7 linked regions of the Tribolium castaneum genome follow. The protein of the gene in region 1 binds, or shares a complex with, the protein of each later gene. Links are inferred from orthologs where the notes say so. Each region holds a gene or a part of one and is shown in the gene's direction. Other genes may lie near its edges.

What was found.
Region 2: ncm (region 1) and crn share a complex: the UniProt entries of both Homo sapiens proteins name them as parts of the minor spliceosome. The link is inferred for Tribolium castaneum from reciprocal best matches to the Homo sapiens genes CWC22 and CRNKL1.
Region 3: ncm (region 1) and RING-type E3 ubiquitin-protein ligase PPIL2 share a complex: the UniProt entries of both Homo sapiens proteins name them as parts of the minor spliceosome. The link is inferred for Tribolium castaneum from reciprocal best matches to the Homo sapiens genes CWC22 and PPIL2.
Region 4: ncm (region 1) and U5 small nuclear ribonucleoprotein 40 kDa protein share a complex: the UniProt entries of both Homo sapiens proteins name them as parts of the minor spliceosome. The link is inferred for Tribolium castaneum from reciprocal best matches to the Homo sapiens genes CWC22 and SNRNP40.
Region 5: ncm (region 1) and SNRPG share a complex: the UniProt entries of both Homo sapiens proteins name them as parts of the minor spliceosome. The link is inferred for Tribolium castaneum from reciprocal best matches to the Homo sapiens genes CWC22 and SNRPG.
Region 6: ncm (region 1) and Sf3b2 share a complex: the UniProt entries of both Homo sapiens proteins name them as parts of the minor spliceosome. The link is inferred for Tribolium castaneum from reciprocal best matches to the Homo sapiens genes CWC22 and SF3B2.
Region 7: ncm (region 1) and l(2)37Cb share a complex: the UniProt entries of both Homo sapiens proteins name them as parts of the minor spliceosome. The link is inferred for Tribolium castaneum from reciprocal best matches to the Homo sapiens genes CWC22 and DHX16.

The regions. Positions count from the first base shown.
Region 1 is NC_087398.1:673,830-678,374, reverse strand, and holds ncm (pre-mRNA-splicing factor CWC22 homolog), read left to right. Parts: upstream 1-1,638; 5' UTR 1,639-1,767; coding exon 1,768-2,932; intron 2,933-3,110; coding exon 3,111-3,780; intron 3,781-3,838; coding exon 3,839-4,274; 3' UTR 4,275-4,320; downstream 4,321-4,545. UniProt on the Homo sapiens protein: Required for pre-mRNA splicing as component of the spliceosome. As a component of the minor spliceosome, involved in the splicing of U12-type introns in pre-mRNAs. Promotes exon-junction complex (EJC) assembly.
Region 2 is NC_087400.1:96,366-100,609, reverse strand, and holds crn (protein crooked neck), read left to right. Parts: upstream 1-1,522; 5' UTR 1,523-1,620; coding exon 1,621-1,659; intron 1,660-1,713; coding exon 1,714-3,690; 3' UTR 3,691-3,718; downstream 3,719-4,244. Other genes in the region: Nle (notchless), read left to right, coding at 1-1,316; protein OPI10 homolog, read right to left, coding at 3,932-4,244. UniProt on the Homo sapiens protein: Involved in pre-mRNA splicing process. As a component of the minor spliceosome, involved in the splicing of U12-type introns in pre-mRNAs.
Region 3 is NC_087395.1:15,994,742-15,999,161, forward strand, and holds the start of RING-type E3 ubiquitin-protein ligase PPIL2, read left to right. Parts: upstream 1-1,438; 5' UTR 1,439-1,553; coding exon 1,554-1,585; intron 1,586-1,639; coding exon 1,640-2,597; intron 2,598-2,637; coding exon 2,638-2,789; intron 2,790-3,954; coding exon 3,955-4,144; intron 4,145-4,192; coding exon 4,193-4,332; intron 4,333-4,379; coding exon 4,380-4,420. Other genes in the region: Ubc2 (ubiquitin-conjugating enzyme E2-24 kDa), read right to left, coding at 251-713. UniProt on the Homo sapiens protein: Has a ubiquitin-protein ligase activity acting as an E3 ubiquitin protein ligase or as an ubiquitin-ubiquitin ligase promoting elongation of ubiquitin chains on substrates.
Region 4 is NC_087399.1:11,299,343-11,303,851, reverse strand, and holds the start of U5 small nuclear ribonucleoprotein 40 kDa protein, read left to right. Parts: upstream 1-1,578; 5' UTR 1,579-1,676; coding exon 1,677-1,787; intron 1,788-1,835; coding exon 1,836-1,965; intron 1,966-4,509. Other genes in the region: uncharacterized protein LOC656468, read left to right, coding at 1-59. UniProt on the Homo sapiens protein: Required for pre-mRNA splicing as component of the activated spliceosome. Component of the U5 small nuclear ribonucleoprotein (snRNP) complex and the U4/U6-U5 tri-snRNP complex, building blocks of the spliceosome.
Region 5 is NC_087395.1:18,416,517-18,418,958, forward strand, and holds SNRPG (probable small nuclear ribonucleoprotein G), read left to right. Parts: upstream 1-1,276; 5' UTR 1,277-1,404; coding exon 1,405-1,436; intron 1,437-1,481; coding exon 1,482-1,629; intron 1,630-1,684; coding exon 1,685-1,735; 3' UTR 1,736-1,789; downstream 1,790-2,442. Other genes in the region: zinc finger Ran-binding domain-containing protein 2, read right to left, coding at 240-920. UniProt on the Homo sapiens protein: Plays a role in pre-mRNA splicing as a core component of the spliceosomal U1, U2, U4 and U5 small nuclear ribonucleoproteins (snRNPs), the building blocks of the spliceosome.
Region 6 is NC_087396.1:14,198,207-14,202,416, reverse strand, and holds the start of Sf3b2 (splicing factor 3B subunit 2), read left to right. Parts: upstream 1-1,303; 5' UTR 1,304-1,450; intron 1,451-1,574; 5' UTR 1,575-1,609; coding exon 1,610-1,709; intron 1,710-1,760; coding exon 1,761-1,987; intron 1,988-2,039; coding exon 2,040-2,221; intron 2,222-2,272; coding exon 2,273-2,474; intron 2,475-2,527; coding exon 2,528-2,704; intron 2,705-3,277; coding exon 3,278-3,510; intron 3,511-3,647; coding exon 3,648-4,002; intron 4,003-4,056; coding exon 4,057-4,210. Other genes in the region: uncharacterized protein LOC103313715, read right to left, coding at 1-937. UniProt on the Homo sapiens protein: Component of the 17S U2 SnRNP complex of the spliceosome, a large ribonucleoprotein complex that removes introns from transcribed pre-mRNAs.
Region 7 is NC_087398.1:7,194,318-7,197,840, forward strand, and holds the end of l(2)37Cb (pre-mRNA-splicing factor ATP-dependent RNA helicase DHX16), read left to right. Parts: intron 1-646; coding exon 647-2,027; intron 2,028-2,074; coding exon 2,075-2,293; intron 2,294-2,487; coding exon 2,488-2,671; intron 2,672-2,725; coding exon 2,726-2,950; 3' UTR 2,951-2,969; downstream 2,970-3,523. Other genes in the region: zinc finger protein OZF, read right to left, coding at 3,383-3,523. UniProt on the Homo sapiens protein: Required for pre-mRNA splicing as a component of the spliceosome. Contributes to pre-mRNA splicing after spliceosome formation and prior to the first transesterification reaction.

The DNA.
Region 1 (4,545 bases):
ATTTTTCGACGAAAACTAATTAGTAATTATTGCAGAAACATGTTAAAATGAGTAACGATAAGTGGTTTTTTAATGACTTATTTGGGTCGATAAGTTGACCACTAAAAGGTTTACTCATTATTGCGATTAGAGCAACGAGACGACTTTTGGAGGCCTTATTTTCGGTCTTGTTGCGCATTTTACGATAACCCTTTTGTGACCTTTTTATCGGAACTGCACCCAAAACTATAATTAAAATTCTTTCCCCTAACTACTCAAGCGAGTGGTCAATTAATTTCTAAAAAAAGAGCGATTTGTGCGAAATAATTATTTACCATGACTGCAAGTTCCACTTGTAATTATTCCAAGCAAGATGATTAACAAAAGTCGCAACCTTGGGCCCAGCACCTTTAGCACCTACACCAACCCGGCACGCTTTTTTACTTAGAAAAAGTACCAAAAATTGGGCAAAATTTTGGAAAAATGGGAGAGGAGAACGCGCACGGTATCGGCACCGAAAGGTTGAGAACCAACTGAATTGCTATAGCATGGGTACTCTCCATAAAGCAGCCTCGGGCTCTTTTGTACGGATTGGTTTCGTTGGTCGATCTTTGAAACAGCTGGAGCTGGGTTTAAGTTCACTTGGCAGTGACCTTGATGCCTCGAAAACGCTGCATTCGCACTGTTTATTGTTCAAACTGTTTAATAAAATATGGTACACGCAAACATTTCACATATTCATGGGAGGCCTCCGCGAAATTCCGCAAAATTAAAATGCGTGACCTTATCGTTCTCCGCGCCGATTTTTTAAAATCCACAAACTGAATAAAATACCTTGTAACACTTTCAGTATGCCGTAAAAACGCTCTTTTCACCGCGGAAGTATTGTTGAGAAATCTTTGATCGAACTTGTTATTGTGCCATAAAAATTTAATTGTACGCTAGAGCTGTTATTAGCCACTATTATCGGTTTTTGCTTGTTTTTGCACCAACAGCCATTTCTCTTCAAGAAAAAGCGAAAGTCTGTGTCAAGTTATTCATTTTATGGGAACACATTAAAAGTCGCTGTCGAAGTAAATATTCTGAAAATATCGCGACCTGAGAACCATAAGGTTCTGACTATTTCACAATTTTACAATATCATATCTTGTCTTCTCAATTGCCTGAAATGTTATCATAAAATATAACACGTATTATATGTTAATCTACAAACAAACAATACACAATACAAGAAAAAAATAGCAAACTTTTCAGACATGCTCTACTTAAAATTTTATTGTTTTGAACTTTTAAATCAATATTTAAGGTTCCAAAGTAACAAATTTTGCCAAAATTACTTCCATGTAGGTACTTTTTGTTTTCTATCAATAGCTAAACGTTACATCATCTAGTTTTCTTTTATTTAACATTTAAAGATCATTAAAATCCCAAAATTCCCAGGTCGTGATATATTTTTTAGGCAAACGTGACCCCCAAAATCACATTCAAATTTTTTTGAAATTTTAGATTTGTCACTAATTTAGTAAGTCTGTAAATTTTCAAATATGTCTGGAATTAATAAAACCACCAATTCCTGGCCCTCTAGTTATGTTATAATTGCGTAAACACGTACATATAATTAATTATAATTTATTCTAAATGCACAAAAAAATCTGGCGACTTTAAAATTCAAAAATAGTAGGGAATTTGTCATTATCACCAGTGCCACATAACCTCAACCTCTTGCGTTGTTGTGTGTTGTCAATAATCGCCCCAATTTCTTACTGTGTTTTTGTGAGTGCTTAAAAAATGACCACCGACACCGAAACCTCCCCACAGCCCAAACCCAAGCGTAAAAGCCGCTCCAAATCCCCTGAATCCCGTAAAAAACGTCGTGACGACTCGCCCCATAAAGACTCCCGGAAGCGTTCCCGCCGTTCGCGTTCACGAGACCGTCGCAAAAGTCGCAAATACCACGACTTGGACCGCCCCCTTGAAGAATACCCTCGGTATTACGGCGAGGATCAAGAACACAAGAAAAACAGCGATAGATATTGGACCAAATACCCCCGCAAGGATGACCATCAGGTGGGTAGTAGGTATTACGGGGGCGAGCCCGACGATAAAGACAAAGAGTCTGAGAAGGAGACGGATAAGTCGGTGATAGCCCCCCGTGAGCGCAAAACCGTGGATTTACTGACACGGACAGGTGGGGCTTACATCCCTCCAGCGAAGCTGCGGATGATGCAAGCGGAGATTACTGATAAGAGCTCGGCGGCGTATCAAAGAATTGCGTGGGAGGCGTTAAAAAAATCCATTCATGGGTTTATTAACAAGGTGAATACGTCCAACATTGGGATTATTTCGCGGGAATTGCTCCATGAGAATGTGGTAAGGGGGCGCGGACTGCTCTGCAAGTCCATAATACAAGCGCAAGCTGCGTCCCCAACTTTCACAAACGTGTACGCAGCCCTGGTCGCTGTCATCAATTCGAAATTCCCTAATATTGGAGAATTGTTACTGAAACGTTTGGTTTTGCAATTCAAGCGCGGTTTCAAGCAGAATAATAAAATTATCTGCATTTCGGCCACGACTTTTGTGGCTCATTTGGTTAATCAGAGGGTTGCGCATGAAATTCTCGCCTTGGAGATTTTGACTCTTTTGGTGGAGACGCCAACTGATGATTCGGTTGAAGTTGCGATTTCGTTTCTGAAGGAATGTGGACAGAAATTGACTGAGGTTTCGAGTAAAGGCATTAATGCCATCTTTGAAATGTTGAGGAATATTTTACATGAGGGGAAGTTGGAACCGAGGATTCAGTACATGATTGAAGTTATGTTCCAAATCAGGAAGGACGGGTTTAAGGATCATGCCGCTGTTATTGAAGAGTTGGATTTGGTGGATGAGGAGCACCAGTTTACACATTTGATTACGCTGGATGATGTTAAGCAATCAAATGCTGAGGATATTTTAAGTAAGGAAACTTTTTAATTAGGTGGAACTGTACTTAATTTTTTATACAAAAAAATCGGGGTATCCAGGTTTTGAGATTTTTTATTATTATTTTTTTATTTCTCAGAAAAAATTATTTTGAAATTTTAATTAATTAATTCCTTAATTTGCCTCGTTCACTCTGTGATTATCCTGTCTAGATGTGTTTAAATTCGACGACAACTACGAGGAAAACGAGGGGAAGTACAAGACTTTGAGCAAGGAAATCCTGGACATGGACAGCGAGTCGGGCTCCGGCTCGGAGGAAGAGTCCGGTGACGAGGAAGACGACGAAGACGAGGACGAAGAGGAAGAAGAAGGCGCCCAAAAGAACGAATCCAACATAATCGACAATACGGAGACCAACCTCGTGGCCCTACGCAGAACAATCTACTTAACCATCCAATCAAGTTTAGATTTTGAGGAAAGTGCCCACAAACTAATGAAAATGGAACTGAAACCGGGCCAAGAAATCGAATTATGCCACATGTTCCTCGACTGTTGTGCCGAACAACGGACTTACGAGAAGTTTTACGGATTATTGGCACAGAGATTTTGTCAAGTGAATCAGATTTATGTCGAGCCATTCCAACAAATCTTCAAAGACACGTACGCCACAACACACAGACTTGACACAAATAAATTGCGAAATGTTAGCAAGTTTTTCGCACATTTGTTGTTCACCGATGCGATTGGATGGGAGGTTTTAGAAATTATGAAACTGAACGAAGAGGATACCAATAGTTCCAATCGGATTTTCATCAAGATTTTGTTCCAGGAATTGGCCGAATATATGGGCTTGGAGAAGTTAAATGCCAGGCTTAAAGATGCGTAAGTGACTGTGTTTGATAATTAACGAGGTTTTGTTAATTTTTTGGATTTTTTTCAGAACGCTTCAGCCACATTTTGAGGGGCTGTTTCCGCGCGATGATCCCAAAAATACAAGATTTGCGATTAATTTTTTCACGTCGATTGGCTTAGGGGGGCTTACGGCCGAGTTGAGGGAACATTTGAAAACAGCCCCTAAAGTCAATCCCTTGACGATTACTGAAAAATCAAGTGATTCTAGCAGCAGTAGCACTAGCAGTTCAAGCTCATCCAGTTCCGATAGTAGTGATTCGGATTCGTCAAGTTCCGAAGATGAGAAACCACGTAAGAAGAAGGAAGAAAAGAAGAGGAAAAAACCGACAAAAGAAGCATCAGACGATGATAAAAAACGAAAAACAGATGCGAGGAAACACAGACATAATGAGAGACGGTCACGCGATCGAGACGATCGGAGGCGGCGTAGGAGCCCCGAGAGGAAGCATAAGAGTAGGAGATAAGTTACTTTGTACATAAATTGTATTGAATAAATATTTTTATTTGTGACTTGTGTTTGATTCCTTAAAGTTACCAGATTTGAATTTGGCGCTTAGTCAAACCCACACTTTTGGCATTTTTTTTGACGAAATGTGGGTGTTAATTAAATTGCGTGTTTGTGCTTTTGCTAAAATGAGACAAATTTGGGTGAAAATTTTAATTTTGGGTTAGTTTTAACTGAAAATTTGGGTGAACAAGGCTTGGTGGTTTTTGTTGGCGAGGTTGGCAAGCAGT
Region 2 (4,244 bases), on another chromosome or scaffold:
CTTGTACTGTGTCCCAGTTGACTGAAATTTGCAATGCTCTCCTCGAAACCACAAATTCGTACATTTTTTACGCCAACGACACCGAAATCACACATTCGCTCGAAAAAACCTTAAACTTGTCGGACTTGAACACCGAAACCGTCATCGACATCCTCTACCAGCAACAAGCCGTGTTCCGAGTGCGTCCCGTGACAAGATGTACAAGTTCAATGCCAGGCCATGCCGAAGCTGTCATTTCCGTGAGTTTTTCCCCCGATGGTAGACACCTAGCGAGTGGTTCTGGCGATACAACCGTTCGGTTCTGGGACGTGGACACCCAGACACCTTTTAAGACATGTAAAGGGCACACGAACTGGGTGTTGTGCATTGCGTGGGCCCCCAATGGGCGTAAACTAGCTTCGGCGTGTAAAGACGGCAAGGTGGTGGTATGGAACCCCGAAAATGGGGCCCAGATTGGTAAAACTCTAATTGGGCATAAATCATGGGTCACGGCCCTGAGTTGGGAACCCTACCACCAAAACGCCGAGTGTCGCTTTCTAGCCTCGGCGAGTAAAGATTGTGACGTCAGGATTTGGGATACGGTCCTGTGTTCTTGTACTAGGGTTATTTCTGGGCATTTGAAAAGTGTGACTGTGGTCAAGTGGGGCGGTCTGGGGCTCCTTTATACGGCTTCGCAGGACCGGACTGTTAAAGTTTGGAGGGCTAAAGACGGTGTGTTGTGTCGTACGTTAGAAGGGCACGGTCATTGGGTCAACACTTTGGCCCTCAACACTGATTATATCCTCAAATTGGGGGCGTTTGACCCAGTCAAAGACACCCAAATCCAATCACAAGACTTCGTCCTGCGTCGTTACAACGAAATCGTTAACCCTATCGGTGATGAAAGACTCGTCTCGGGCTCCGATGATTTCACTTTGTTTTTGTGGGCCCCCTCAAAAGACAAGAAGCCGTTAAATCGGCTCACGGGGCACCAACAATTAGTTAACGATGTGAAATTTTCACCAGATGGTCGCATTTTTGCCTCGGCTTCGTTTGATAAGAGTATTAAATTATGGGAGGCCAAAAGTGGTAAATTTATTTGTACGTTAAGGGGGCACGTACAGGCTGTTTATGTGATTTCGTTTTCGGCCGATTCTAGACTTTTAGTGAGTGGAAGTGCCGATTCAACACTCAAATTGTGGAATTTGAGGGAGAAGAAATTGGAAATTGATCTGCCAGGTCATGGGGATGAGGTCTATGCGCTTGATTGGGCCTCAGATGGCTCCAAAGTGGCCTCGGGGGGTAAAGACAAAGTCTTAAAGTTGTGGCAAAATTAAATGCAATAAAATTTTGTAATTTTTCTCGAATTTTATTTAAAAAAAAAACAGAAAACTGTAATTGTGCGCGACATGTGGCGTCACCAGTGCAAATCTACAAATCCAATAATACAAAAACTGGCTTGCGGAGTTTAATTACTTACGTAAATTATTGTTTAATCTATATTACAACAAACAAACACTCGATCAAAATTTAAGGCACGATATTTCACAATTTGTGTGGTCCAAACATAACCACAAAAAATCGTAAGGTTATGTTCGTGTTTGTTTGTTGTGCTACAAGTTGGTAAAAGTCGCCCCTGAGATGGAAACCAAGCCGCAAAAGATGCCCAAAGTGGCCAAGGTACGTTATTTACCTTCTCTTTCAACTTAATAACTAACTAAAATAATTTTCCAGGTGAAAAATAAAGCCCCTGCTGAGATCCAAATCACAGCCGAGCAGCTCCTTCGCGAGGCAAAAGAGCGCGACCTTGAGATTCTCCCTCCGCCCCCTAAGCAAAAAATCTCCGATCCAGCTGAACTTGCCGACTACCAACTCAGACGCCGTAAACAATTCGAAGACAACATACGAAAAAATCGAACTGTTATCTCCAATTGGATTAAATATGCCCATTGGGAAGAATCGCAAAAGGAAATCCAACGAGCTCGTTCGATATTTGAACGTGCCTTGGATGTGGACCATCGTAACGTTACCATTTGGTTAAAATACACTGAAATGGAGATGCGAAACCGTCAAGTGAACCATGCTAGAAATTTATGGGACAGAGCCGTCACGATTTTGCCCAGAATCAACCAGTTTTGGTACAAATACACCTACATGGAGGAGATGTTGGAGAATGTGGCTGGGGCCAGAGCTGTCTTTGAACGCTGGATGGAGTGGCAGCCGGAGGAACAAGCCTGGCAAACGTACATCAATTTTGAGTTAAGATACAAAGAAATCGACCGTGCGCGAGAAATCTACGAACGCTTTGTTATAACACATCCCGAAGTCAAACACTGGATTAAATACGCCCGATTTGAAGAAAATCACGGTTTTATCAACTCGGCCCGCTTGATTTACGAACGAGCTGTACATTTTTACGGTGATGACCATTTGGACGAAAAATTGTATATTGCATTTGCACGGTTTGAAGAAAACCAAAAAGAACATGACCGTGCTCGCGTTATCTACAAGTATGCCTTGGACCATCTCCCCAAAGAACAAGCGAAAGAGCTGTACAAAGCCTACACCATACATGAGAAAAAGTACGGCGATCGTTCCGGTATTGAAGATGTGATTGTTTCGAAACGTAAGTTTCAATACGAACAAGAGATACTCGAAAATCCGACCAATTACGACGCTTGGTTTGACTATTTGAGACTGGTGGAGGGGGAAGGGGACCTTGAGACGTCACGTGAGACGTATGAGCGGGCCATAGCCAACGTGCCACCAACGAAAAATAAACAATACTGGAGGCGTTATATTTACTTGTGGATTAATTACGCCCTGTTTGAGGAAATCGAAGCGGTTGATTATGAAAGAACACGTCAGGTTTATAAAGCTTGCCTTGACTTGATCCCCCATAAGTTATTCACGTTTAGTAAAATTTGGTTGTTGTTTGCACAGTTTGAAATCAGGCGGAAGAATCTGATTGGTGCTCGTAAAATTTTGGGGACTGCCATTGGTAAATGCCCACGTGATAAATTGTTCCGTGGGTATATTGATATAGAGATACAGTTGCGTGAGTTTGACCGGTGTCGTATTTTGTACGGGAAATATCTAGAGTTTGGTCCGGAAAATTGTGTGACTTGGATGAAATTTGCCGAGTTGGAGACACTTTTGGGGGATTTTGAGCGTGCTAGGGCCATTTATGAGTTGGCAATCGCTCAGCCAAGGCTAGACATGCCTGAGCTGCTCTGGAAGGCCTATATCGATTTTGAGATCGGGCAAGAAGAGTGGGCTAATGCCCGACAATTGTACGAAAGATTGTTGGAGAGGACAAGTCATGTGAAAGTTTGGTTGTCGTATGCGAAGTTTGAGTTGAGTTGTGAGTCGGATATGAATATTAGTTTGGCAAGGCGTGTTTATGAGCGGGCTAATGAGAGTTTGAAGAGTTATGGGGAGAAGGAGGCGAGGGTTTTGTTATTGGAGAATTGGAAGGAGTTTGAAAGTGCAAATGGGAGCGAGGAGACGAAGGAGAAAGTTGAAGGGAAAATGCCAAGGAGGATTAAGAAGAGAAGGAAGGTTATTGATGAGGATGGTGTTGAGCAAGGATGGGAGGAGATCTTTGATTATATATTCCCTGAGGATGAGGCCAGTAAACCCAATTTGAAGTTATTGGCAGCTGCCAAAAGCTGGAAGAAGCAGAAGCAAACGGAAGAACCGGAACCGTGATTTTGAGAAAATAGAATTAAGGTTTAAATTTTGTTTTATTCCCCTTTTGTCACTTATCCAAGCGCTATCTGGTCAACGATTTTGCACTGCAACAATTAATTTTTTGTGGGCAAATGATAAGATAATAAAAAAATCGATACTTTATTCATTTAAATACATTAAAAGCGAGTGAGTTTTGAGACTTAACAGCCGCCATAATCCAGCTTTGATGAACACAAGACACACGTATGCACACATTCCTCTACGTTTTCCAAAAATTGGGGTTTTGTTGCAACCGTCGTTCAAAATTCGTGTACCAGTTCTGTACTGTAGCCAACGGAACGTACGTGGCCGTGGGATCTGGGACCATTTGCGGTTGCGTCACCGTATAACTCAGCACAAAATTCATAAAATTCTCCAACATTTTCTGAGCAAACGTGACATTATTACTGGGATTATTCGCCGATTCGATTTCCCGAATATTCGCCAGCGGCTCAATAGCGATCCCTATTTGCGCATTGTGTACGATGTGACTTTGCCCGAATAAAATATTCATCGAGTCGCCCATCTCTTCG
Region 3 (4,420 bases), on another chromosome or scaffold:
ATGCAATTTATTTGGCAAAAATTTCTCCAACTTTCATCAAAATCTTTCACAGGAAATTAGCATAATTTACATTCATCGCGTGCCTTTAAAAATATTCAAAACATGCCGGTGACTACGCCGGTCTAATATTTGTCTGCTCGCTGCGGGTCTACGAACTATTTGGCACGTTTTTAATCCAACAAGAATTTTAAAAATAAATGCGATTCATTGTTTTACTTGTTGCGATTACGATTAAGAGAAATTGACCCACCTGGGTTGCAGTCGGTGAGTAGGGAGCAGATAGATAAGAGGACCTTGGAGATGGTGAGGGCGGGCGACCAGTTGTCTTTCAAAATATCCAAACAGATGACGCCCTGACTGTTGATATTGCAGTGGTAGATCCTCGTCCTGAACGTGACTTTAGGTGGCTTGAAGGGGTACTCTGGCGAGAAGTGGATGTCCAGGAAGAAGACGCCGCCCTCGTAGACGGACCCCGGGGGGCCCAGGATCGTGGACACCCACTCGTAGAAGTTCTCCCCTTTGGGGCCCGCACTGCAGTTCGGCGGCGGGTCTAACGTGATTTCTGCTAGTTCTTTTTGGATTCTTTTCGCTGATGTGCCCAAGGCCTTTGACATTTTCTGGTTAGGCTTTGATTCTTTTGTTTCCTTTTGATCACCGACTGCTGCTTGACCGCCTCGACCACGGCCTGATCCGCTAGACCCAGCTGAAGACATCGAGCTAAACAAAACAAAAAATCACCTCTTTGTTCCTCCCGGCGCTCGCCGGGGGCTGACGGGCGACCGTGCGAGAGAGTCACCTCAAGCAACAATGGGGTTCAATGTCTGATTGCGATCGCCGGGACAGGTAACCGATTATTGCGACCCTTCTCAAAACCAAAATTGATTCCTGTCAGCTAAGTCGGCCATTTTGATTTCAAGCATTACACAAGCCGTAAATTTCCATTAAATTGGGAAAAACGGGACGGAATTCAATAATTATCGATTAAAACACAACGCCGAACCCGAAATTACTGTAATTTCGATACGATATCGCTTTTATTGGGCGATATTTACGGCACAAGTTGACGATTTTTTTCAGCGCCTACTCGGCTAATACGCGCATAAACGGCCCTAATCGAGTTTCAGGAACGTGAAACTGGCATTGAACGGGAAATTTCAGCAGCAATTACACTTACTTGTATTAATTTTTGCACTAAAAACTGAAAACAATTCACTCCCTTTTTGCTAATATCGGCTCATGGCGTACTCGCTGAGCACTCAGGCCTGCCACCATACTACCGGAAATATGCAAAAACTGCACAGCCCAAAAACCTGAATTTCGATTATTTGCAACAAAACCGCCCTGTGCCACACCCCCAGGGCGTCGGTCGCCAACACCTCGCCGAAAATTACCAAAAAATTGCGGATTATTTTTTAAAAAATTCAAAATCCTTTGCACCCATCTAGGGGCATGAAGAGTGCGCGTGTTGTCTACCTGTTGTTGTGACAGCGAGCTAACCTCAAAGTCGTGTGATTTATATTTTTTAATTTTACCTCTTTACAAGTTACAGCAAAATGGGGAAGCGCCAGCACCAGAAAGACAAAATGTAGACCTGTCCAAAATCAGTTTCAAGTGCGTAATTAACGCAATTTTGTTTAAGGTACTTGACGTACACAGAGTGGACCACTCTTTACGGGGGCAAAAAATCGGGTTATACGACCGCGGAGGAGGACTATTTTAAGCGGCTCCCGTTTGACCACTGCTGCCTGTCGTTGCAACCGTGGGAAATACCCTACTGTGACTTGGACGGCAATATTTTTGATTTGGAGCCTTTGCTCCCCTTTTTGAAGAAGTTCAAGATAAACCCAGTCACGGGAAAGCCTCTGGATTTCAAGTCGTTGGTGCAGTTGAATTTCCACAAAAATGAAGAAGGCGAGTTTGAGTGCCCCGTCCTTTACAAACAATTCACCAAAAGCTCCCACATTGTGGCGATTGCCACCACTGGAAACGTGTACTTGATGGAAGCAGTGGAACAGCTTAATATTAAGAACAAAAACTGGAAGGACTTAATCAGTGATACGCCCTTCGAACGCAAGGATATCATCATGTTACAGGACCCACTAGACTTAAATAAGTTCAACATTTCCAACTTCCACCACGTCAAAAACAATTTACGAATCGAAACCGAGGAGGAAATCAAGGAGAAGAACGACCCTCAAGGCCACTTGAAAAACGTGAACCCTGAAACAAAATACACCCTTGAGGAGCTAAAACGGGACTACAAAGAGCCAACAATTGAAATAAACAAAGTCGAAGTTAAGGAAAAGGCGGACAAGTTCAACGCTGCCCATTATTCAACGGGGGCTGTGGCTGCGAGTTTCACCTCAACAGCGATGGTCCCCCGATTGGTGCACGAAGCCGCAGTGAAGCACGAAGATGAGGTGCGATACGACAGAGTCAAGAAAAAAGGCTATGTGAGGTTAATCACGAACTTGGGGCCCCTCAACTTGGAGATTTACTGCGACGAAGTGCCACGTGCTTCGGAGAATTTTATCAGGCATTGTGCGAGTGGCTATTACAACGGGACGAAATTTCACAGATCTATTCGGAATTTTATGGTAGGGACCCATCATGGGGGCTAAAACTAACGAAATGTAGGTTCAAGGGGGCGACCCGACGGGGACAGGGACTGGGGGCGAATCCATTTGGGGGAAGAAATTCGTTGATGAATTCAGGCCCAATTTGCAACATGTGGGGCGAGGGGTCTTGTCTATGGCCAACAGTGGGAAAAACACAAATGGGTCACAGTTGTATGTTTTACGCAGCCTTTGACTTTGAAGTTAAGTTGGCAACAATGGCAACAGTCAAATGTTAACTTTAATAGTCAATTGTCGTTTGAAATGTCAAAGTGACAAAAAAACTCATTTATGTCATAACTAGGGAGGACTATAAGTTAGGAGATGAAATCGCAGGATTTTCTGAACCTAAAAAATAGTACGGTGGACTAAAAATGAGGGCGCTTTGAGCGTTATACTGTCTCGGCGCCAAATCGTTTTAAATTAATTTAAATTCAACCAATGTTGAGCTTTGCACCCTTAAGTCTGAGAAAAACTGACGACTAAAATGTTTGTGATTTTTTTTTAAATCTGCGCTTTGTCTCGTATTTTTCAAGACGCTGCAAATACGGTTGAAGATACAAAAAAAGTGTAAGGAACAAAATTGTAGAGAATTAAATTTTTTACAAAAAAGTCCACGACACCATATTTCTATTTTAAACGGTTTGGTTATAAACTAACTTTTCAATACTTGACCACTGGCAAAATGAAGCAAATTCGTCGCTTGAGCGTCTTTGGGCGATTTTGGGGCCTAAATGGTTGAAGATAGGGATATAGTCCCGCGGACTTTTTTGTAGGAAATTTAATTGTCTACAATTATCTTTCTAACATTTTTCTTGCATCTGTAACCGTATTTGCAGAGTTGTCAAAAATATGAGTCAGAGTGCAAGTTGGTAAAAGTTTTTATTTTAATATAGTTTAAGATAAAATTTTTGCATTACGTTTATGTCCTACTATTGCGAATTTAATGCTCTATCTGCCTGTATTTTTTTGTTTGTCATGTGTTAACCGTTATGCAAACACAACCATTTTTTCAAATTCATTGCACTGAAAATTTAGACGGTAATGGAACATCTGCGCTCTCTGGCGACATTAACGGAACTATCGAATACAGGAACGTTTTATTTGTATGTCGTTTCATATCCTAACTTGTTTATATCCGTAGCCATAACTTTATTTTTTACAAAAAAAATGAGTAAATTTTCCCCATACTTTTTCCAAACTTTTAATGATTTAATGAATACACAAACTGAAGTATTTTTCATGATATAACGGGAAATGCCAACGTCCAGTTTTGCCAACTTAATTTCAAACTCAGCCACTGAGCAATAATCAAAAATTTAATTGTTTTTTTTTTTAGTTTCATAACATACAGGTCGTGCAAGCACTTGAATAATAAGCACACGATTTTTGGTCGTTTAGTTGGTGGCATGGAGACTTTAAACGAAATGGAAAAAATTGAAGTGGACAATAAGGATAAGCCCATTGAGGATATTGTGCTTATAAGGGCGCAAGTTTTTGTGAATCCATTTGAAGAGGCGGACGAACAAGTGATTGTCTTATTCTGTTGTAATGTGTTATTTTTGGTCAATTTTTAGTTGGCGAAAGAACGCGAAGAGGAATTGAAAAGACAGAAGGAGGAAGAAGAGGCGAAGAGACGTAAAGCGGAAGCTCAAAAAACCCTAAAAGTGTATAAAAGTGGTGTTGGGAAATATATCAATCCTGATAACGTGAAAAGGTGCCTTAATTACGTATTGGTAACACTTATTATCTGTTTTATTGTAGTTCAACCCTTGATGAGAGTGACTTGACAGAACCGCAACAGA
Region 4 (4,509 bases), on another chromosome or scaffold:
TTCGGGAAGAAACCAAACGTGGGGCTTATATTAAAGATCCGTTCCGACGGCACTATTAGGAAAAACTGTGTGTTTTTATTCAACCAAAGACAGAGAATTGTTTGACGGAGTTAATTTTAGTTAAAACTAGTCTAAAAAAATGTGAAATGTGTAACACGATTTGTTGTTGATGATATTATTGCAAGATATTAATTTTTTATGACGTAGGTTTTAGTCTATTTATTATTGTTGAAATAATCTGCTAATCCACTTTAATAAATGTTTATTTTGCTATTTCTTTCCATCTAACACATGCATTTTACAGAATATGGAAATTACGCAAACTTTGATGGAATGCCGCAAATATTTATCCACTTTGCGTGTCGCAAAGTTTAATGTTTGAGCACTTATTTTAAATATTTTTATTAGATTAGTTGCATCACACTCTCCGTAGGCACGGAAGTAAATATTTTAAGTAAAAATTAATTAAAATGAGTTATAAAAACAGGATATACATATTCTGGAAGAAACGTACGTAAATATTTGCAAATGTTTAGGCAATTTTTTTGGCATGCAATCAGTGTTTTAAGTTTTTTCTGTAATATCGTCTAAGAGGAAGAAATCATTAATCAATGTCGGTCTGTTAACAAAATTCTACGTTTAAAAAAGGCACAGATAACATAATTTTCCAACAAATTTGGGATTTTCGATTAATGATTTTTAGTGTCATTTTAAGAGTTTTTTTACAAACTGATTTATTTTAGAGTTTAAATGAGTTCAAAAATTGAGCAAAATAAACCAAAGTCAAGTCAATTTTTAGTTAATTTAAGGATTTTCACGGTGTTTTTTCACGAAAAAAAGTGCTAAAATATTAAATAAACATCTGAAAATAGACAAATAACATTATTTTTAACACGATTTAACAACCTTTTGGATTGTTTTGCCAAAATTACACAAAAAACATTAGTATCTAGTATCTAATTTTGATCAAGTTTGCTGATTTTTAAGTTTCTTCTGACAGAATTTAAGAAAATATGTAGTTTTTAAGTCGAAACTTTACTGAATCAAACAAAGCAGACTATAATAACGACTATAATTTGGAAGATATCATTCTTATCAATCTATTTTAGTAAAATTACGCAAAAAAGATGTTTGTAGTTTGAAAATGAGCCTAAACTCCGGGGGTTCCTCCTAAACTTAGGAGATGAAACAAGATATAAAATTACAGGAGTTTCTAATCCCAAAAAATTAGTACGACACACTAAAAATGATGGCGCAATAATGCAACAGTCTTATGGGGTTGTACCTCAAATATTTGCCAAGAGAAACTTAATTGTGTTTCAGTGTTGCAAATTACTAACAAAAATCTGTTAGTACCGGGAAAATACTGACAATTTTAGAGCAAAAAAGTAATAAGAATTACGCAAAGTGAGTTAAGTGAGCTAATATTAATCGTTTTCGAAATTTTGGCAAGTAAAAAACCAAATAATTTTTAGATATCGACATTGGGAAACCATTTCATTGTTGTCAAACATTTATTCCAAAGGAGATAACTATTTGTTTTATATAATTGAAACAGGGTATACAATCAAATCGTACTTCGTGCTCTCCACCAGAGGGCGCTTATCGCTTCGTTTTGTTGACGCTAAAAAGTGAGGTTATTGTTTTCCTCCCAATTTTTGTTTAAAACACCAAAAATGGTTGTTGAGAAACGTCGAGCCGAAGATTCATCATCTCTAGTCCCCGTAAGCAAAAAATCGAAAAATGAAGTGGCCACATCGAACAAAAACAAATCGGTCTTACAAGCGGTTAGTAACACTTAACCTCAAAAACCCTCCTCAAATCATGTATTTCAGGCCCCTGCGAGAACTTCCAATCTATTTGCCCCCATTATGTTACTGGAGGGCCACGAGGGTGAGATTTTCACAGTGGAATTCCACCCTGAGGGTCAATATGTAGCTTCATCAGGTTTCGACCGTAGAATTTGTAAGTTGTTTTTTTTGCAATGAGGTTCAGCCAAATAGGTCTTCATATCAAAATTTTGGAGGATTTACTTGAATATCTAATATAGTAATTTGAAGTACATAGAGGGTGTCTTAAAATTAACGCCCGTGCGTTGGGAATTTGATTCAGGGGGTTAACATAATTCGAAAGTTAAGAGTAAAAAATTTTCAATTGTTATTGATAAAAATGTAAATAATAAGCTTAAAGCTGTTTTTCCAATTGTTTGTGCAACATAATTCATCAGTTGATGTTAGCAGGGCTGAGCCATGCCAATTGGCCGCCTGTGTGCAGGTTCCAATAGTAGTTAAAAATTACCAAGTTAAATAAATGGAAGCAAATGTTCATTTTTAAAATATTCTGAACTAGTTTATTTATTCAAAAATAAAACTATTTGTAACAAGAATATTTTTAAATTTTGTACAGGTACATTAGCTGTTAAAAATAATTTGATAACTACAGTTCATTCTTTTTTATAATTAACTGTCAGTGTCAAAATTTTGATAAAGACCAGACTGTATCACACCAAAATCTCATGTCTAATCACTTTCGAAACTAGCTGTATTCTGTATTTGACATTTTACACACCAGATTTGACATTCGGGACAATTTTTGCAGCCAATGAAATTTGAATTCGTTAGTCTTTAGAATTTGTTAGCCTTTTAAAAAAATGTGTTGTGCGTGTTGTAACTTAAAGACCATTAAATTAAATTTGCCAGGTAAAAATTAGTACCATCTTAGTAAAAATTACTATTTATGGTAATACTAACCTGACGGCTCTTTGACAGTTGATTATAAAAAAAATCGACTATATGTATACACGAATTGTTATTGCTTTGTTTTATCAGGGGTGCATGTTTTTTATTTTTGTTTTTTAACTAATATGAAAACAACCTAAAAACAAAAAAATAAGGAAAAACAAACAATCGTTCTTATAAAATAAAGCCAAAACAGAAAAATAAAGCCCTTGTGTAAAATTATTCATAACTTTTTTACCTCTTTCATTTTTTTATTCTTTTTGTTTTTTGATTTTTTGCTCCATTTGTTTGAATTTTATTATACAGCGTGCTCAAAAACTGGCGCACCAACTCATTGGTGTGTGGTAGAGAACTGGTTACATATAAAGGTAAAAATAGTAAAAAATTCTTTGTATTAAAGTTATTGATAAATAACGGATTTTGGATAAATGATATGTGGCAACGTTGTCTAACAGTCATGATCGCAACAGAAGTTGAGCAAGAATAAAAATAAATTATTTTTGAAACGGTTTCCTAGGAAATAATTGCCAGTGTTGGCACATTTACACATTGCGATTTTTTGGATGAATTTTAATTTTTTTAAATTAAAAAAACTGCTAAAATCTGATAGTAAATTTGAAAATAATTATTCATCGTTTTGTTACGGAACGATTACTTGGTATGAAACATAAATACATAAAAAAAATAATGAAAACTAAAGAAGTTAACACAATAAGTTTGTAGCTCCAGATTTTTCAAAATATGACTTTAGGAATTTTTTAAACATTTTTCCCGTAATCTGCACTTGCTTCTCAATAATGTACCACTGAGTTGGTGCGCCAGTTTTTGAGCACCCTATATTTATCAGAAATATGAAGGAGTGTAGTACTAAAATAGTAAACAAAAAAGTTGGTGGCTATTTAAAATGTTATTTTAACATGTCTTTTCTCAATAACTGGATGTCAAAGACTAGCGTTTCTAAAAATAAAATTGATTTGTGTATTGAAAAAAATAAGCCATAACTAAGATATAAATTTTATGTGTTATATTAAGTTTACTCTGTAGAATAATTGGACAGAAAATTTTATGGTTTCATTCTAGAATTTTTTAATTTTCTAGTCCGTATAAATGACTACTATTTAGTCATTTGCTAAGTAAAATGTTGACATTGCGTGGTAAAATAATCTAAATGCTGAGTGGTAATTATTTATCTATTTTTAGCGATATTTGGCCAACCAGTTTTGCAAGTTATTTGTGCGTTAGGTATTTTACAGGGTTCAATTTTTGTATTAAAGCCCTCAACTTCGTTTCGAGCTTCAATATTAAAACTTCACGCTGTAAAATTTTACCTACTACAGGTAAATTGTAAATAACTATTACTAGAAAGGCTATCATTCCCTAAATTTATGCGTGTAAGTTAAGACTCACCCTATATACGTCTGAACTTATATTCATTTAGGGATCTTCTCCAAAAAGGTTTCTAACTTTATTCAGAAGGAACATATGAGGATGTAAATAAAGAAAATTATCAATTATAGTTTTTCGAAAAATTTTATTTTTTTATAATAAAGGCAATACCAAATTCAAAAACGTCTTCCGCATTCAATTCAACAGAAAATTTTATGATTTTATTCTGTTTTTTTAAGTTGTACAATCATTTCTTTACTTCTAATCACTCTAACTCTGTTCATTTTCATAATGAAATTAAAAGAATCCAAACTATATTTTTATTTAAAATTTTATTTATTCCATCGTCAAGGATAAATGAAATTTTATCACTTAGAGAAATAAT
Region 5 (2,442 bases), on another chromosome or scaffold:
AAGAACGCACAGTTGTCACTGTTAATTTTACAATTAATATGGGTTACTCGTGGACGATAAATATTTTACAGCGTAACAACTACAAAAACTAACAAATTTCGTTAGTCACTTGGTGCTAGAATCTATTCGATTTTCAGGTGAAGAAGAATGTAAATCAGGCACCAATAAAAGTAATGGTTTATTGTGTATACCTAACTCGAATTTACCACCATACAAAGCAGATTTATTCACCTAAATGTCTATAAAAATTTCGACTCGACTAATGACTTTTTTTTTTCGTGTTGTGGAGACCGTGACCTCGACTTAGATCTTGAGTTATTTTGTTTACTATTCGATTCCCCTGAATCCCCCCAATCCGACAGATCATATTTCGATAAGTCTCCGTCGTCGTCATCCTCCTCCTCGTCCTCCTCCTGCTCCTCCTCTTCTTCCTCCTCAACCTTCTTCTCCACCTTATCTACACTATTTTTCATCTCCTTCACCTCCTCACTTTTCTTCTTTTTCCTCCTCCCGAACTCGTCATATTCGTCGTCAGACTCGTGCTCCTTATACTCGACCACCCCCCTGTCGTTATACCCCCCACCGAACCCCGTCCTCTCCTCCACCTCCCCAAACTTGGGGGCGTTACAAACGTTACACTGCTGCCTCCGCGCCCAATTCACGTTACCGCATTTGTTACACTGCCAATCGTCGGCACTAAACAACCCGCGACTTTTCTCTGCCGCCGCTTTACCGATCTCGTGCCCCAATTTGCGCTTTTTCGCCGACACCGGCCCCCGACTTTTGTAACAACGGTTACAGTTGTTACGGCGGGCGAAATTTACGTTACCGCAGTCCGGACACGTCCAGTCTCCCTCGTTCGACGCCGACGGGCTTTTCAGCGACGGCGGCGGGGGCGGTGTCACTTCGGCCTCTTCCATGGGGGCGATACTAGACTAGAAAAGGCGTAAAGAGTAGTGGCTAGAAGGAGCACTACTAGAGGGAACGGAGGAGCAAATGTTAACATCTGGCGGTACTGGTACTGCTTTTACCTTTACTGAACCTTTTTCCAGCGGTTATTCCAACAAATTTGTTGATAAAAAAGTAACGTCAAACCGAAGATGCACCGAAATGTCACTAGCACAGAGGGATTTTCGACGCCAAACGTTGCCCACACCAATCAGGACACGATCACCAAAACAACAATTGCCTTATTTCAACGCAACACTTACCGATTTCTGATTACAGTTATCACCAAAACCAATGACTTGTTTTGTTTAATTTTTTGCATTAACTATACGTTAAAAATGTGAAAAAATTGGGACAACTGATCATGCCCTGTACTTAGCAACTGTCAAATCTGTCAGTTTGTGTCAAGCGTTTGAAGAGCGTTTTAAATTTTAAAAACTCAAAAAAGTACACAAAATGTCGAAAGCACATCCTCCGGAATTGAAAAAGTGAGTCTTGTTTTGTCGTAGAACGTATTACTAGTTTTTTTGCAGATTTATGGACAAAAAATTGTGTTTGAAGTTGAATGGGGGCCGACAAGTCGTTGGTATTTTGCGCGGTTTCGACCCTTTTATGAATCTAGTGGTGGACGAGAGTGTGGAAGAGTGCCGGGATGGCAAGAAAAACAATATAGGGATGGTGGTACGTTTCTTTTGAATTAGTGTGGATTTGAAATTTGAGGTTATGTTTATTACAGGTGATCCGGGGAAACAGTATCGTCATGTTGGAGGCTCTAGATAGGATTTAGTTTGTAATTTTGGCTTAATCGATAATTATTTGTAATAAAAGCGTTCGATTCTGACCGAGTTTTCTTTTATTGGGCTTGGGGTAGGGTGGAAATAAGTGAATTAGGGTAATAGGAGGGAAAGCATTATCGTCGTCGCTTTTGTGCGTTCATTCACAAAGAAATTCAATTCGTATTGTTTTCCTCGAGCGGTTTGTCCGTAACAGTGTATGAAAAGCTTAGAGAATGTCGCATGCGCGCCGCCACTGTTCCACCGTCGGGAAAATATTGGAAACGTTCGCTAGTTTGGCATTAAAGCGTCTCGGCGGCGACGTTCCAGTGAAAATTTTCGTGTAGTGACGAGTTTTCCAGAGCCACATCACAATCAGCGTCAGGTATTGCCCCCATTGACAGTTTTTCCGGGAAAACATCCGGATCGAAATTAACACCCACTCGATTTTAATGTCATTTCCTTGGAAAATGAGTTTTTTGAGGAACAGTCTTAAAGCAACCACCCTTGACTAGGTCAAAGGAACACGCTGAAATGTATTGCCCTATAAGATTTCGCTTTAATTAGTTAATTGTGCCCGAAACAATGGACATTATAACTACAATCCCCAAATTAAATGGAATAATTTTTTAAATAGAATCTTGTGAAAGGTGACGGGTAATATTGGGATAAAATCGGCAATCAAACTCCGAAGATGACACTAAGAGACTTTCCAACGTCA
Region 6 (4,210 bases), on another chromosome or scaffold:
CCTCATCTTCATTCACAGGACTCAAGTTTACAGACTTGCAATTTTCAAAAGATTTTGAATCTTCAATTTCCCTAAACGAAGAAAACTTTCCTTTCCCACTTTCGTCCGCTTCCAAAGAAGACAAATTCTGTTTTTTGGTCTTTGGTGTCTTGCTTGAAGCAACAAAATTGGGGAAAGTACCATTGCTAGGACTATTTTTCTCTGTAATACGTCCATCTTGTGTACTCTTCTCGTTGACTTCAATGTAGCTTGAACTTCCCTCATCTTCATTTAAAGGGCTCAAATTTACGCTCTTGCAATTTTCTGACGGTTCTTCAAGAGATTTAAAATCTTCAATGTCTCTAAACGAAGAAAACTCTCCTTTCCCACTCTGTCTTTTGACCTTTGGTGTCTTGCCATGTTTATTTTCTTTTTTCACGTGTCCATCTTGAGCCATTTTCTCCGTGACTGTGATGAAACGTGAACTTCCCTCACCATCACTCACAAGATTTACAGAATTTTCGGAAGATTTCTCCTTCAAACTTTTTGTAGTGAGATCTAATGTCTCATCATTGCACTTGTCTTCCAGTTCACATTGCTTGGTACTCCTAAGAACTCTCTTAGCTTTGACGATTTTTCTTTTATTTTTTGGTACAGGTGGCGGCGAGATTTTTTGAACTTCCTTGAACAAAAAAGGGCTTCCTTTGTCACTTTTCCCGCTCTCATCGAACTCCAAACGAGGCAAATTCTGTTTATTATGCTTTGACGACGTTGGCTTAATATTTTCGTCTTCTTTTTCCACTGCAGAAGCATTAAAACTGAAGAAAAGCAAATCGTTCGTTTTTCTGACTTTTCGTCCACTTCTTGTTGCTTTGGCACTGCTTAAGGGGCCACTGGTGCTTTCCATTTCAGGTGGATTTAGTTTTTTATTTAAACGTCTGCTGGACCTCACTGACATTTTAATGCAAGCTATAAAACAATTTTTATGTAATTTTCGTATCAAAAAAACTCGGTTTTTACCTTTAACGTTGTGTTAAATCCAATTATTCGCTTTTTATAGTAACTTTACAGTAAACAAGGCACACAAATGACAAACCGACAACAAAACCGTTTTTTTGAATCTGACATTTGAGATTGAGATGCGTGATTGGTCCAAATTAGATTGGCATCTTGTTTGAAAAATAAATTGATTAAATATTTATAAATTATTGTATTTACAAGATGTTAATAGAGAAAGTTGTAACTAACTGGATAAATAACTACTACATTTGATTTATTCTGTATGAAAATTTTGGGAAATGTTTTCGCTTTTGCAGGAAATCGAGCTGTCGCGATTACGGTCGCATTCGCTCTAATTCCAAACAAAAATGTCGACCGAAACGTTGCTGAATGCCGCAATAAATTATTAATAATATTAAAAGTTTGCGGTTTTTCCTCATTGTAGATAAAATTTAACAGACTATCTGTTATAGTAAGTTCGCTTCTTGCTTTGATTCAAACATTTTTTAAGAAATTAGTATGAGAAAGAGGTTATATCAAATTGAGAAAAGTGCTTTTTAGTGTTAGAACAATTCCATAATCCCGTCTCCTTTCAGCTTACGGCTGCAACAAGCACTGATTCTACTGACAAATGAATCCGGATCAGCTACAAGAGGGTGTCCCGGAGCACCCTGTGCCCCACCAGGAAGGGATGTTTGGGTCAGGTATGCAAGGGTGGGCTGGTGAACATGGTAATTGATTGTTTTCAACCAGTTTGTTTATATCGCATTGGACTATTTCAGGTGTTGGTGGTGAAAAACAACTCCCCTCATTGCTATCCCTAAAAGTGGATCCTCCTGATCAGATGATGGAGACGCCACCAACTGAAGTTGTTTTACCTCAAGTGTTGGAAGAGGTGTTGGCGTTAAAAAATCAGAGAGCGCGTGAACTAGAACGAGAAGAAACGGAAACAGTAGTTCAACAGCCGCAGACTCCTAGAGAGGCGCTTTGGGAGAAAGATGACAATATTGTAGCTTTTTTAATTTTTTGTATGAATATAGTTATAACGATTGTTTTTTTAGGAACCCGTGGTTGAAAATGAAGAAGAGAGTCAGGTGAAAGAGACCACCAAAATCAGTAAGAATAAAAAGAAGAAGAAAAGGAAGAAGAACAAGAAAAACAGGGAGAATGAACAGAATAAAGCGGCTGAAGAGGAGGAGAAAAAGGATGGGCAAGAGGATGGGAATACAGATGTGGAAGTTGAGTAGGTGTTTTTTCTATTTGTTTGACAAAATTGTTATGAGTTTAATTAAAGGTACGTCCAAGAGACGATTAGTCTTCTTGAACTGGCTCCACAATACCGGCAGTTTTATAGCATTTTTGACGTGTTTAAAATAACTGATCAAAAGCATGATATCCCACCCCCAGTTCTGGCAACGCCAACATCATTGTCAAGTAAATCAATGTTAAATAGCATAGGAGATCACTTTCAGGAAGAAATGGAAGATGGGGACGACGTAAGTGTTGTATTACATTATGAATAAAAAATATGTATCTATTTTTTTTTCAGAAAAAGCTTGACGATAAGTCAAAAATGTCCAAAAGAAAGCTTAAAAAATTGACGCGACTTAGCGTCGCCGAGCTTAAACAACTAGTCAGTAGACCAGACGTTGTAGAAATGCACGATGTAACAGCCAGGGACCCAAAATTGTTGGTCCAATTGAAAGCTCACAGAAATACCGTTCAGGTAACGATTATAATTTTCTCAAAAATTAAAAGTAATGCAGCCATTCCATGATTACGGACGGCACATAACTATTATTTTAAAAATGGCTTATTAAAAAAAAAAGATGGATTAACAATTTAAATTCATTTTGCCACTTCTAAAAGTTGTTATAAATAATTAGTTACGGATGGGACACAAAAAATTATGCTTTGTAACAATTTTATTATAACACGAAAATGTTAACAAAATTCAGGAACTACTAACAATTAATAAAAAAAGAGAATACCTTTTATTAAATTATTATTAAGAATAGAATTAAGTCGTAAGCTTTGGAAAAATAATTTTCGTCACTACTTCCAATTTGAAAACTCTTAATTTTGCGCACATATAGAATTCTGTAGCATTATTAATTATTATTTTCTTTAGACGAACTTTGTTCCAAACTAAACATTTTACTGAACGCATAAGAAGCAAGGATTTGAATTTTTTATTAAAAAGTGATGTTTTGGAACAAACTTAACAGATTTTTCATAATAATAAAGCAGATGAAAATATATGCGGAGTTAGCAATTGGCTGAATAATGTGTTTTTCAGGTACCACGTCATTGGTGTTTCAAACGAAAGTACTTGCAAGGTAAACGTGGTATAGAGAAACCACCTTTTAATCTTCCAGATTTCATTAAAAGGACTGGAATCATGGAAATGCGTGCGTCATTGCAAGATAAGGATGAATCCAAAACACTCAAAGCTAAAATGCGGGAAAAGACCAGACCCAAACTTGGAAAAATCGATATTGATTATCAAAAATTACACGACGCATTTTTCAAGTACGTTTTTTTTATTTTTGATAAAAGCTAAAATTGCTATTGTTTGTAATTGTGTATTCGTAGAGATTGGGAATAATTGAAAAAGATAGACAGCTGTTTATTTAGAATTTTTTTTATAATCTCATTGTTATTGTTAGGTGGCAAACTAAACCCAAAATGACCATCCATGGGGACCTTTATTACGAGGGCAAAGAGTTTGAAACCAGATTGAAGGAAAAAAAGCCTGGAGATTTATCAGAAGAATTAAGAACGGCCTTAGGAATGCCTGTGGGCCCTAACGCTAATAAAGTACCCCCACCATGGTTGATTGCAATGCAACGTTATGGTCCCCCACCCAGCTACCCCAACTTGAAAATTCCGGGATTAAATGCCCCCATCCCTGATGGTTGTGCCTTTGGGTACCATGCCGGTGGGTGGGGAAAACCACCGGTGGACGAAAATGGAAAACCATTGTACGGTGATGTGTTTGGAACAAATGTTACCAACATAGATGTAAGTATTTTATAATATTGTTTTATTGAATTTTGTTCAAATATCAATGTTTAGGACATTGGTGAGGACCCTTCCGTGGATCGCACCCTCTGGGGCGAGCTCGAGTCCGAATCAGAGGAGGAGGATGAGGAAGAGGAGGAAGACCAAGACAACCAACAAAACGCCGCTGACGAATCCGGTCTTGTTACTCCAGCTGAGGGCTTGGTGA
Region 7 (3,523 bases), about 6.5 Mb from region 1:
TACTAAAAAATGGTAGATGCATAATTTTTTTATACAGGATGCTCAAAAACTGGCGCACCAATTTAATGGTACGTTGTTGAGCAAAATTCGTTAAAAAATTCCTAATCTCATATTTTAGAAAGTCTAGAACTACAAACGTATTTTGTTAATGTCTTCAGTTTTCATTATTTTTTAATGTTTTTATGTTTCTCACTAAGTAATCGTTTCTTAATAAAATAATGATTAATTATTTTTAAATTTACTATCAGACTTTAGCAGTTTTCTGAATTTAAAAAAAATTAAATAAATCAAAAAATCACAATTTGTAGATGTGTCAACATTGGGCATTATTTCCTAGGAAACCGTTTCAAAAATAATTAATTTTTATTGTTGAACAAATTCTATTGCGATCACGACTATTAGACAACGTTGCCACATATCATTTATTTAAAATTCGGTATTTATCAATAACTGTAATACAAAGAATTTTTTACTATTTTTACCTTTATATTTAAGCATTTCTCTACCGCACATCATTGAATTGGTGCGCCGGTTTTTGAGCACCCGGTACATTTTTTAGGGGTATTAGGATTTTAAAACGATGAGATAAGAACTAGTCTGTGAGGTATTAAATTGGCAAAATTGTACCAAAATAATCAATAAACAGGCACACGAGAGAAGAAAGAGCCCGAACTAACCGAAAAGGAAAAAAAGAAGCTCGACATCCAAGAAACGAAGAAAAACCTCCCAGTCTACCCGTTTCGCGACGACTTGATCCAGGCCGTCCGCGAGCACCAGGTCCTAATAATCGAGGGTGAAACCGGCTCTGGAAAAACAACCCAAATCCCGCAGTACTTGCACGAAGCCGGCTTCACCAACGACAATAAAAAAATCGGCTGTACGCAGCCACGCCGTGTCGCCGCCATGTCGGTAGCGGCCCGCGTAGCCCAAGAAATGGAAGTCAAACTCGGCAACGAAGTCGGTTATGCGATCAGATTCGAAGATTGCACATCCGAACGTACAATCATCAAATACATGACCGACGGCACGCTCCACCGCGAATTTTTATCCGAGCCCGACCTGCAGTCCTACAGCGTCATGATCATCGACGAGGCCCACGAGCGGACGCTACACACGGACATTTTGTTCGGTCTGGTCAAAGACATCGCCCGGTTTCGCCCCGACTTGAAACTGCTGATTTCGAGCGCAACGCTCGACGCGCAAAAATTCTCCGAGTTTTTCGACGATGCGCCCATTTTCCGCATTCCAGGCCGGAGGTTTCCGGTGGATATTTACTACACTAAGGCGCCAGAGGCCGATTATGTGGACGCGTGCGTTGTTTCCGTTCTACAAATTCACGCGACTCAACCGTTAGGGGATATTCTTGTTTTTTTGACCGGTCAGGATGAGATTGAGACGTGTCAGGAGTTGTTGCAGGATCGGGTTCGCCGGTTGGGCTCCAAAGTCAAGGAACTGATTATTCTGCCCGTTTATGCGAACCTGCCAAGCGACATGCAAGCGAAAATTTTTGAACCGACGCCTCCAGGGGCCCGGAAAGTTGTGCTTGCGACAAATATAGCGGAGACTTCTTTAACGATAGACAATATAATCTATGTTATTGATCCCGGTTTTGCCAAACAAAACCACTTCAATTCGCGGACTGGGATGGAGAGCCTGATTGTGGTGCCAATTTCGAAAGCCTCGGCTAATCAGAGGGCTGGGAGGGCTGGCAGAGTGGCGGCCGGGAAGTGTTTTCGTTTGTACACCGCCTGGTCCTACAAGCATGAACTGGAGGACAATACCGTGCCGGAAATACAAAGGATTAATTTAGGCAACGCTGTACTGATGCTGAAAGCGTTGGGGATTAACGATTTGGTGCATTTCGATTTTCTTGATCCGCCACCACATGAGACACTTGTTCTGGCACTGGAACAGTTGTATGCTTTAGGGGCGTTGAACCATCACGGGGAGTTGACGAAGTTGGGGCGCAGGATGGCGGAGTTTCCGGTTGATCCGATGATGGCCAAAATGTTGTTAGCTTCGGAAAAGTAAGTTTGGCTTTTTGTGTGGGTTTGTTACTGTTTGCTTTTTGCAGATACAAATGTTCAGAGGAGATTGTGACTATTGCGGCCATGCTTTCGGTCAATGGGGCGATTTTTTACAGGCCCAAGGATAAAATTATTCATGCTGACACGGCACGCAAAAATTTTAATCACATAGGGGGTGACCATCTGAGCTTGTTAAATGTGTACAACCAGTGGAGGGATTCCGATTATTCCACCCAATGGTGCTACGAGAATTTTATACAATACAGGTGATTTCTCTTATTTTTTCTGAAATCTGCCATAAAAGAAAAATAAAATAAAGAAAAAAGAATGAAAATGTTTCAAACTAACCGGTTCATCTTCAGTACTTTAAAAAAATTAGAAATATAAATTAGAAAAATATAAATTTCAAGTTATCTAGTTGTTGAAGATACGTAAATAATTGTGCTTTATTTTGTTGTAGATCTATGAAAAGGGCTCGCGATGTGAGGGAACAGTTGGTCGGTTTAATGCAAAGGGTTGAAATCGACATGGTGTCAAATATAACCGAGGCTGCAGACATTAAAAAGGCTATAACCGCCGGTTATTTCTACCACATTGCTCGGTTATCCAAAGGAGGGACTTACAAAACCGTTAAACATAATCAGGTTTTAACACCAAAAAAATTATAGTTTTCTTTGTACTGAGAGAAATTGTTTCAGAGTGTCACAATACATCCCAATAGTGCCCTTTTTGAGGACTTGCCAAGATGGGTTCTTTATCACGAGCTGGTTTTTACCACCAAAGAGTTTATGAGACAAGTTATAGAAATCGAGAGTAAGTGGCTTTTGGAGGTTGCACCTCATTATTACAAGCAGAAGGAACTGGAGGATTCTACCAACAAAAAAATGCCAAAGACTGTCGGGCGTAGCACCAGAACTGAATAAAGATTTTTTAGAACCGAAAGCTTTTTATTATAATAATGTAAAAAATTGAAGAAGTAAAGCAGTTTGGTATTGTTGGAAAAAATTCTTATTTCTTCTCATGCAAACAATAGAACAGTAAATAAATTGCTTGTAAATGCAAAAGACACTATAGAAAAATAAAAATGTATTAGTGATAATACAATATACAAATATAAGTGTAAATACTTTACTTTTGTAAATAAAATTACGAAATCGAAATAATTTGTTTTTATAAAAAAAGACAATGAAAATAATAAACTAATCATAATGAGATGAAAATACTGAAAGGCGATAATAAAATAGCTTTTCTCGTCTAATTATTTTTTGGTTTTACCAATTAAAAAAGGGCATAAAAATATATAGCCCTTGTGACTAGTATTTATTCATAAATAAATTTATAAAATCTCCAAACCTTCACTGTTTTTCATGGCCTTTCATGTGCGTCCTCAGGGCGCTGCTCTGCACATAGGCCTTTTCGCAGAGCTCGCACTTGTACGGCTGCTCCCCCGTGTGTATCCTCTCGTGCACTTTGAGCGTGGACTTTTCCCCAAACGC